Linked DNA regions of Cricetulus griseus. The protein of the gene in region 2 interacts with the protein of the main gene of each other region in a biochemical or structural test. Links are inferred from orthologs where the notes say so. Each region holds a gene or a part of one and is shown on either strand. Other genes may lie near its edges. The genes, in order: S100a4 and Areg.

Evidence for each region.
Region 1: the proteins of Areg (region 2) and S100a4 form a complex in vitro, tested with the Homo sapiens proteins (2 studies listed by IntAct, with this or other methods). The link is inferred for Cricetulus griseus from reciprocal best matches to the Homo sapiens genes AREG and S100A4.

Annotation. Positions count from the first base shown.
Region 1 is NW_023276806.1:63,942,346-63,946,589, forward strand, and holds S100a4 (protein S100-A4), read right to left. Parts: upstream 2,893-4,244; 5' UTR 2,736-2,892; intron 1,696-2,735; exon of another isoform or gene 1,635-1,695; intron 1,499-1,634; 5' UTR 1,484-1,498; coding exon 1,343-1,483; intron 719-1,342; coding exon 554-718; downstream 1-553. UniProt on the Homo sapiens protein: Calcium-binding protein that plays a role in various cellular processes including motility, angiogenesis, cell differentiation, apoptosis, and autophagy.
Region 2 is NW_023276807.1:155,907,830-155,912,096, forward strand, and holds the start of Areg (amphiregulin), read left to right. Parts: upstream 1-1,399; 5' UTR 1,400-1,629; coding exon 1,630-1,693; intron 1,694-2,757; coding exon 2,758-2,985; intron 2,986-4,267.

The DNA.
Region 1 (4,244 bases), on a different chromosome or scaffold from region 2:
ACTCAGGCCCGTTGTCTTCCCTCCAGACTCCAACCAGCAACAGATGTGACCTTCAATCCCATCCCAACTTCAGTTTGAGCCCAGAGGCAGATCTGGAGAGAGAAAGGAGGGTGGTGGACTGGCTAACTTCCCACATCTGGAGCCTTTCAAGCCAAGCCTCTGGTGGCTTCTGCCTTAAGTATTCCCAAAGTTTTCTTTGTTGCACGTATGTGCGCGCACACACACACACACACACACACACACACTTGCATGCTAGTTAAATCAGCCACTCAACCCCTACCCAACCCTTTCTAGTTTTGTTCCCTCAAGGCTCAACTCCCAGCTCAACTCCCCGCAGTCCCCACCACTACCCTGTGATATACCCTCCCTCAACACCCAACCCACAATCTCCAGTCTCTTAGGCAACAGCACATAGTTTCAAGACTCTTTATTGAACTCGCTCAGCATTGTGCATATGTATGAAGAAGCCAGAGTAAGGCACTATGCTCAGAGCCAAAAGGGAAGAGCCCCCTCCTCCCGAAGACCACGCCCCCACACTTCATCTGCAGAGTCTTCACTTCTTCCGGGGCTGTTTATCTGGGCAGCCTTCAAAGAATTCATTGCACATCATGGCAATGCAGGACAGGAAGACGCAGTACTCCTGGAAGTCTACTTCGTTATCCCTGTTGCTGTCCAGGTTGCTCATCAGCTTCTGGAATCCTGCTTCATCTCTCTTTTTCTGGGAGTAGAAGAAGAACAGTTAGAAGCCAGACCCAAGCTAGATCTCTGCCTCCAGCCAGGTGTTCAGGAACACCTGAGTGCCTCTGGGCACTCAGGAAGCCTTGGGACTAAGCTATGTAGAGGAGGATGTGCCCTAGATGCGGGCACTTGAGGTAGCTGGGAACGGGGAGGACCACATCTTCTCCTTGTTTGCTTTAATTATCTCATTAGGTAGCAGCCATGGCAGTGATGCATTAAATTAACTAATGCAAGGTGTTATTGAGGAGAGACTCTGCAGGTGTTTGTGTGCCTCCACCATCGTGTCTTCACAAACAGAAACTCAATTTCTCTTGCCAACAGTCCTGATCTAGCCTGCAGTTCAGACACTGACTATGTTAGGCAGTTGTTTTGCTTTTTCTCTGTCTCTTCGGTTGTGTTCATTCTAAGCCTTCTCTCAGCTGAGGGCTAATGAGGGATAGATGGTTCACTGTGGTTCCACACCAAGCACCCGGAGCAAGCTCTCCAACCTCCATTTCCCCACCTTAGAGATATACGCCAACTGTAGCTAGGCACTACCTACCAGAGTCCCAACCTCCTCCTGGGGATGCACCACACATGAAATACACAGGCAGGACCCACTCACCCCCAAAAAGCTAGGCAGCTCCCTGGTCAGCAGCTCCTTCAGCTCAGACTTGTTGAGCTTGAACTTATCACCCTCTTTGCCTGAGTATTTGTGGAAGGTAGACACCATCATATCCAGGGCCTCTTCTAAGGGGTATTCCATGGTGACAGTTGAGAGCTAGGGGCAGGAGACACAAAGGTAGCCTTACCCAACCCACACCAACAGTGTATCAAGAACTGGCTATGTGGCACTGCTCATCACCCAAGTCATAGACTCATTCTGCCCCCATTTTAAATGCTCCATTCCAACCTACCCTCTAGGAACACTTCAGGAGACTGTCCTCATTCCCAGAGAGATCAGAGGAGTGGGACCCACTAATGGCAAGATGGTCGTGTATGCTTTGGGCTCTGAAACATGCAGAGCCTACCATACAATCTCTGGAGATTCGTGCCAGCAGCTTTTGGGCTGACTGTCCTCGGGCCTGGCCTCAACAACAGCAGTTTTCCGTCCTTGCTCAGCTCAACCACAAGCACCAGGCTCTGGCCCGTTCTTCCCCCTCCCAGCATTGGGCGCGGCTGCTGGCTGCCTGCCCATGGGCCCACAGCGGAAAAAACCCAGCTGCCTATTGACCAGCTTAGTGAGGAGTGAGATGAGGTGGCAGAGGTAGGGGCACAAGGGGAGGGTGGGGAAGCCAGGCTCTCTTGACCTGGGGTGCTGGATGTCCATAAGGCACTAATATGAACACAGAAGTCTACAGGTGAGTGCTGGAGTGGTAGCCTGTAAGTAGAGGTGCCTGCCACTAAGCTTGATGGCCTGAGTTTGATCCCCAGAGCCCATGGTAGAAGGAGCAGACTGACTCCCTCCCACAAGTTGCCCTCTTACCTCCACAAGTGCACCTTGGCATGAGCCCCCCATCCCCAACCCACGCATGCATGCACACAAATAAATAACTGAAGTTTAAACGTTAAGAAGAAAGCCTACATGTTCCCTCACTTTGCTTCCTGCACCTGCTTTCCCGCACACACTGGCTTGAATGACCCAGCAAACACCCATCAGGGTACCTATCCATGGCTCCCAAACACAGATGTACACTGTAGCAACAACACGTGTAAGCCTCAGCATCTTAGAAATCTTGAGAGCTCAAATGGCATCTATACACCTTTTTGTTGCTGTTTTCATTCTTGTGCAACACACACAGACACACACAGACACACAGACACACAGACACACAGACACACACACACACACACACACACACACACACACACACACACACACACACACACAGCCTCCACATCAGAATCTCTCATCTGGATCTAGTAAAAACATCTGTCTCCCCAGAAGCCTCCCTTTCTCCTGTCCCAGCCTCAGCCTCTGACACCACTAATACTGCTATGAAGCCAACACAACTCACCAGACCCAGAGAGAGGAAGTGCTGAACAGAGAGGTTTGGGGAAAGCTCAAATGTCTGCCCTATTTATACTCTGCTGGGCCCTGCCCATGCAGGGGATGGGGGGAGCTTGGATACTATGTTCCTACTGTTGGCTGATGTAGTAAATGTCACAGGCCCCTCCACCAGCCCAACCTGAGAACCAAGCTTCCTACTACCCAGCAGGCACAGGCGAGCATTGAGTAAGCCCCAGTGGACACGAGAGACCTGAATGGTGTGGATACCACCCAGTAGCCACAGCTCAGCCAACTTTTAAGGAAGCTTTGAGAAGGGGCAACATGGGCATGGGATGTGGGCCACAGGAAAGAAGATGGGGAGGTGATGGGCAAGAGGGGAATATGGAAATGTATGGCCCAGGAATTGGGGAGGTGACCCCGGCCAGTGGGACAGTCAGCCCTTCTCTCCAGCCTAAACAGCTCTCTGTCACGCTCAGTAAGACCCAGAGTGAAGACTGGCAAGTCGGGAGGGGCCTTGGTACCACCCTAGGTATTAAGTGGGAAACGCCTAAGAGGGCGTGATGGAGTTAGGGCAGTAATGAGGCCTCGAGGTTCATGAATGGGTAGAAGGTCCAGGGAGGGTATTGGGGCTGATGGGAGCATTCAGGTTTGAACACTCAGCTTGGAGAAGAGAGTTACAGGAGAAACAGGTAAAATGGGGAGTCAGGATTAATCTCTAAGGATGGGGTACAAATACGGGGATTGAGCAATGGTCAGAAATGGGAACTTGGGACCCTCAGGGGCTGTGGTTTCAGAGATGAGGACTGACTCAAAGTATCCCTTTCCCCTTGCAGTAAATACAGAGGCTCCCTCCCTGGCTGGCAGCAAATACCTCAGAGGCCCCAATCCTATTGCTACTGCTCTCTGGTTTCCCACAGCTATGCCACACCCATACCCACATACCTCGATGCTCTAATCACAAGTACTGAGTTTCTCCCAAGGAGCCTCTTGCCCTCCTAGAAAGCCCAAAACAAGGGCTTCCACCTCAAGACAGGGGACAGAGAGATGGAGACAAAGACCCCCAGCCTCACCTGATGGGGACTTGTAATGGCCCCACCTTCCTACTGAATACTGAGACTTATGCATTCCTATGGGGTCTGGAACTGCCTTTAGGGCCCCTGCCTTCAGCTGCCTTCCTCCAGCGATATGGAACATAGAGGGGTAAAGACTCCCAAGGACTCAGTCCCAAAATCCAGTGTGTCCCATCAGAAGAACCAAACCAAGCCAAGCTGACATTTCTTTATTAGGAGTTGAGCAGGCCCCTGCCACAGTGTGCACATGGCTGAGCCTCCAAAGTGAGAGAGCAAATGTTCTCCCTTCCAAGAAGAGAAGCTACTGTTCCACCCCTCACTACTTTGACATCCCTAGGAAAGCTTCTACTGTGCATGAGTAGCCAGGGTTAGCACATCAGGGACCTGGCAAGCCCCGACTGAAAGGATACCACAGAGAGGGTAGGAAGGGTGTGGCTACACACTCA
Region 2 (4,267 bases):
CATGTGTATTTCCAGGTCAGAAGCACACTTTCGAGAATATACCTTGTTGTCATTAAATCAACAAAACTCCATTTCTGGGCTGCTAGAACATGGAAGTTAATCAATGAAGCGACTATCCGCCCCTTCCTCCTCCTCCTCCTTCTCCTCCTTCTTCATGTTAAGTATTCTCCAGACTCCCGTTGGTGTTTCTCTGAGTTGGTCTTTTCTGCTAGTCCTCAAACAGGCCTCAAGCCTGATCTGTAGCCTAGGTGGGCCCCGGGAGTAAAGATCTTCTAGTCTGGATGCTGGAGACACAGACCTATCATCATTAGGGCCCCCTCTGAGGCTAGAAATCGGGCCTCACTGGATCCTTTTAATCTGAACGGGGGGGCCCACCCACCTACATCACCATGCATGCCCCCTTTCCCCTCCCATGAAATGTGAAACTTTCTTCTTCCCCTTCTCAAAGACGATTTTAGCTCTGTCTCTATCAGCGTGGCAAGAGACAGATTTCAGAGCCAAACTAAACTGAAGCAAAGCTACGTGGAGTGCGTGCAGCTGTCAATCCACTCTCTCTGCTTTTTTACATCTACCTTTTTATTTGCCTGTAAAAAGGAGGAGTATAGGACCCCAGCAAGGTGTTAGTGAGACCCTGGAGGAAAGAAATTTTGTTTGGGTTTCGGTTTTGTTCTATAGCCCAGCTTGACTTCTCCCTACAATCCTCTATTTCAACCTCCTAAATTCCAGTGTCTGGCCATGCCCAGCTAAAATCTTAAGAACCTAATGTGACACCAAAAGGCCAGCAAGTACTGCTTTGAAAGGCCCTGGGGAGGATGTCTGATTGATACCTGGGCCATTTTGGAGTCTTAAAATTAGAGTCCAGGTGGGACAGGTCCCCAGGCCCTGGAGAGAGTGTTTGATTGATATTTTGGGCCATTTGGAGTCTTTAAGAGCCCAGGTGGGAAAGGGCCCTAGGCTGCCATGCAAACCCGTCACACTCCAGCTCTTGTGGGGATGCTGTGCCTTCTCATTTAGTTAACTAACTTCCTTTATCTTCCTCAAAGTCTTCAGGCTAACCTTGCTAAATCACAGCTGCTCTTAAAGTTCTGTGCCCTAACCTGGGACTTTGCTATTTCATCTCCCTGGCTTGTTATCCTGCTAACATCAACGAATATGCAGAGGTTTTTCAGACCCTGTGGCACTGAGACTCTGGGCTGACAGCTGCTCCTCCCAACTCCAGTTTAGAACAAGAGTGGGAAAATTTATCCCGGCATTGACAGGGCTCCATCCCCACTTCCTCCTGGCTGCTGTCTGTCTGCCCGGTTCTGGGGTAGTAACCTCCTGCCTCCTCCACCCACTGCCGACCCGTGACGTCACGGGCGGTGGCTCCCGCGGGCCTATAAAGCAGCAGGTGCTCACTGCACCGCACCCTCAGTCTGCTCGCTCCTCTCCCTCCTGACACGCGAACACCGCCCCGACATCCCGAGCTGAGCAGGAGGCGCTGGCCGCTCCCGCCGCCCGGAGCCCGGCGGGCTGGGCATCCCTGCGCCAGTGCTTGCCCGCTGCTCCTCGTTCCCGCTGATCCCGCAGCCCAGAGCCCCAGCCGTCGTGTCGCCGCAGAGACCCGGACGCCGCCGGCCCGCGGGACCAATGAGAACTCCGCTGCTGCCGCGGGCGCTCCTGGTGCAGTCGCTGCTGCTTCTTTTAGGCTCAGGTGAGCACCCGCCGCCTCCAGCAGCCACCTGGTCTGTAGCCCCTTAAATGCTGCTGTCCTTTGACGCCCCGAATTTTTTCCGGCTGGCGAACGGATGCCGGTAGTTCGCTCCGCTGAAGTTGCTCTTGCTAAGAAGACAGCAGACAGAGGTCTCTAGCATGCCCCAAGGACCAGGCTGCCCGTGAGAATACCTATACTAAAATCCAGCGGATGGAGACCTACGAGGTCATTTTAGCCCAGGCTTTCCTTTGACAGCTGAGGAACCGAGTCCAGACAGGTGAAATAATTTCCGCAAGAGTAGTTAATCCAAGAGGATTTGAGGAGGTTTCCTTGCCTTCTGTCTCCATCTCTTGTGTCTAGGTATTTTATTTTTACCTTCCTAAAGAGGACTCAAAGTGCCCTAGAGAGAGGCTGAAAGCACCGCTGCCAGTGCTGCTTTGAGATTTAAAAAGAAAAAAATAAAAAGGAAAAGAGACAAAATCATAAAAGAATAGAAAAGGCAAGGACTGGAACTCAGAACTCTCCAAAAGTTACCAGGTGCTCTCAACTTTTTCTCTGTGCTAATAATAATCATAATAATAATGGATAAAGATAGTAACAGTCCTTGCTGTTAGGCACCATTGTACTACCTTTAACATTTTATGTACAGATTCAACAGGCATAATCAAGTGTTAAAATGGATCCCCACATGCAGCATCAGCTAAAAGGAGGCAGGAGAGCATGGGCAGAAAGGCACGCACGTCAGACCTGCACTAAGAGCCTATTAGACATTGCCTGTTATGTGATTCTACTGGACTGACTTGGCAGGGCTTTTTAAATTGTGGAAATTATTGTAGGCTATCTGTGGAAAAGAAAACCCAGATAAAAGAAACTCTGTAATTGGAGCGGCTGAGTTTGCCTCTTGGCAAACTGTGAAGTTGCTTTCATTAGTGACTCAGTCAGAAAAACAATAGCACACGTGCAGTGCAATAGCTGCTTTGATAGGAGGAGACAAGTCTCCCAGCACTGCTCACACAGTGACACAAAAGCCCCTAGACTCAAGGCCTCTTATTCTCTCCCTGCAGGCCATTATGCAGCTGGGTTGGACCTGAATGATACCACCTCTGGGAAAATTCCAGCATTTTCTGGGCACCACAATGCCACTGGACTTGTGGTTTCTGCGGGAAGTGAGGTCTCTACCATAAGTGAAATGCCCTCTGGCAGTGAACTCTCCACAGGGGACTATGACTACTCAGAAGAATATGATAATGAGCCACAAATATCCGGCTATGTTATAGATGATTCAGTCAGAGGTAAGTGGAGGAGACCGGAAAAATTCTGTGTATGAGATGTGGTTTGATCTTAGCAATGTGGCTTCAGAAAAAACATCGCTTTTCCGAGTTTTCTAATTGCTTTATAGGTGTGGCTATTGCATATCCTTTAAAGAAGTATTGTAGATTGCATCCTATACGTCTAAGGCATTAATCAAAGTCTTTATAATTCTGGTAAACAGAAATTATTATTCTCATTTTACACAATAACTGAAGCTCAGAAAGGTTACGTGGCTCAGGGAGCAAGCAGTTGAGTCAGAATTAGAACCTCAATCTGCTTGATTCCAGGGACTATGTTCTTTTCCAGGTGTGCCACATGACCTCCATTCTGAGAGCAGAGGTAGTCATTAACAGTTCCTGTGGGCCTTGTAGCTCAACACTTGTATCCCCTCCCCCATACTACTGTGTTCAAATAACAAGCATTTTAACACAAATAAGGGAACAGAAGAAAAACTGACAGACCTCTAGAAATGTTAAAGAAACACAAGTATGTGTATATTTTATTTTTATCCAAACTAGTGACCCCCTTTTCTCTCTTTTGCTCTTACCAAACAGACCTTTTAAAAATACCTTTCTTTTACATGAGAGAGAGATAAAAGCTCCCTACCTTCATTTTACTTTGTATTTTGAGGGAAGAAGAGACTATCGATAAGTCAGGTCTAGAACTGTCTACCCTAGAGGAAGGATAAGGGGATTCCAGAGTTCTTTAAGTTCTTTTAAGACTTTCATAGAAGATTTTCCTCCTCCTCTGCTTCCCCTCCCCCTCCTCCTTCCCCTCCTTTAGAGTCTCCCAGAACTGAAGAATAGTGAGTGAGTGTCCTAATACAGGGACAGGGACTGGGCAAGTGACAGGAGGGATAAACCTCAATGACCATTCTACTTTGGTGCCTTGCTTCTAATTGTTTTGTTTGTTTGTTTTGATATATGTCATGAGAAAGGGGATTAGATTAGACCATTGGGTGTCCAGGACTTATGATATTAACACATTCAGAGGGCAAATCAATTCCTAGCAGAGCAAGTGACCAATATTTAGAATTGCAGCTCAGTGTATAAAGCTGAAACTGTTGGTTGAGCTCATTTGAAAGTCTGTTTGCTTAAATGCCCATGGGTGTTCTGTCTGTTGCGACACTTCAGCACAGTGACTATTATTTGGCTTGGACTTCTAATCTACCTGATGAAGTATAGTGATATTCATTTAAGACTGTTCTCCTAGAGGGCTTTTTCTAACTTGCACTTCTTAATGACCAGAAGAAAGTTTTTGTAT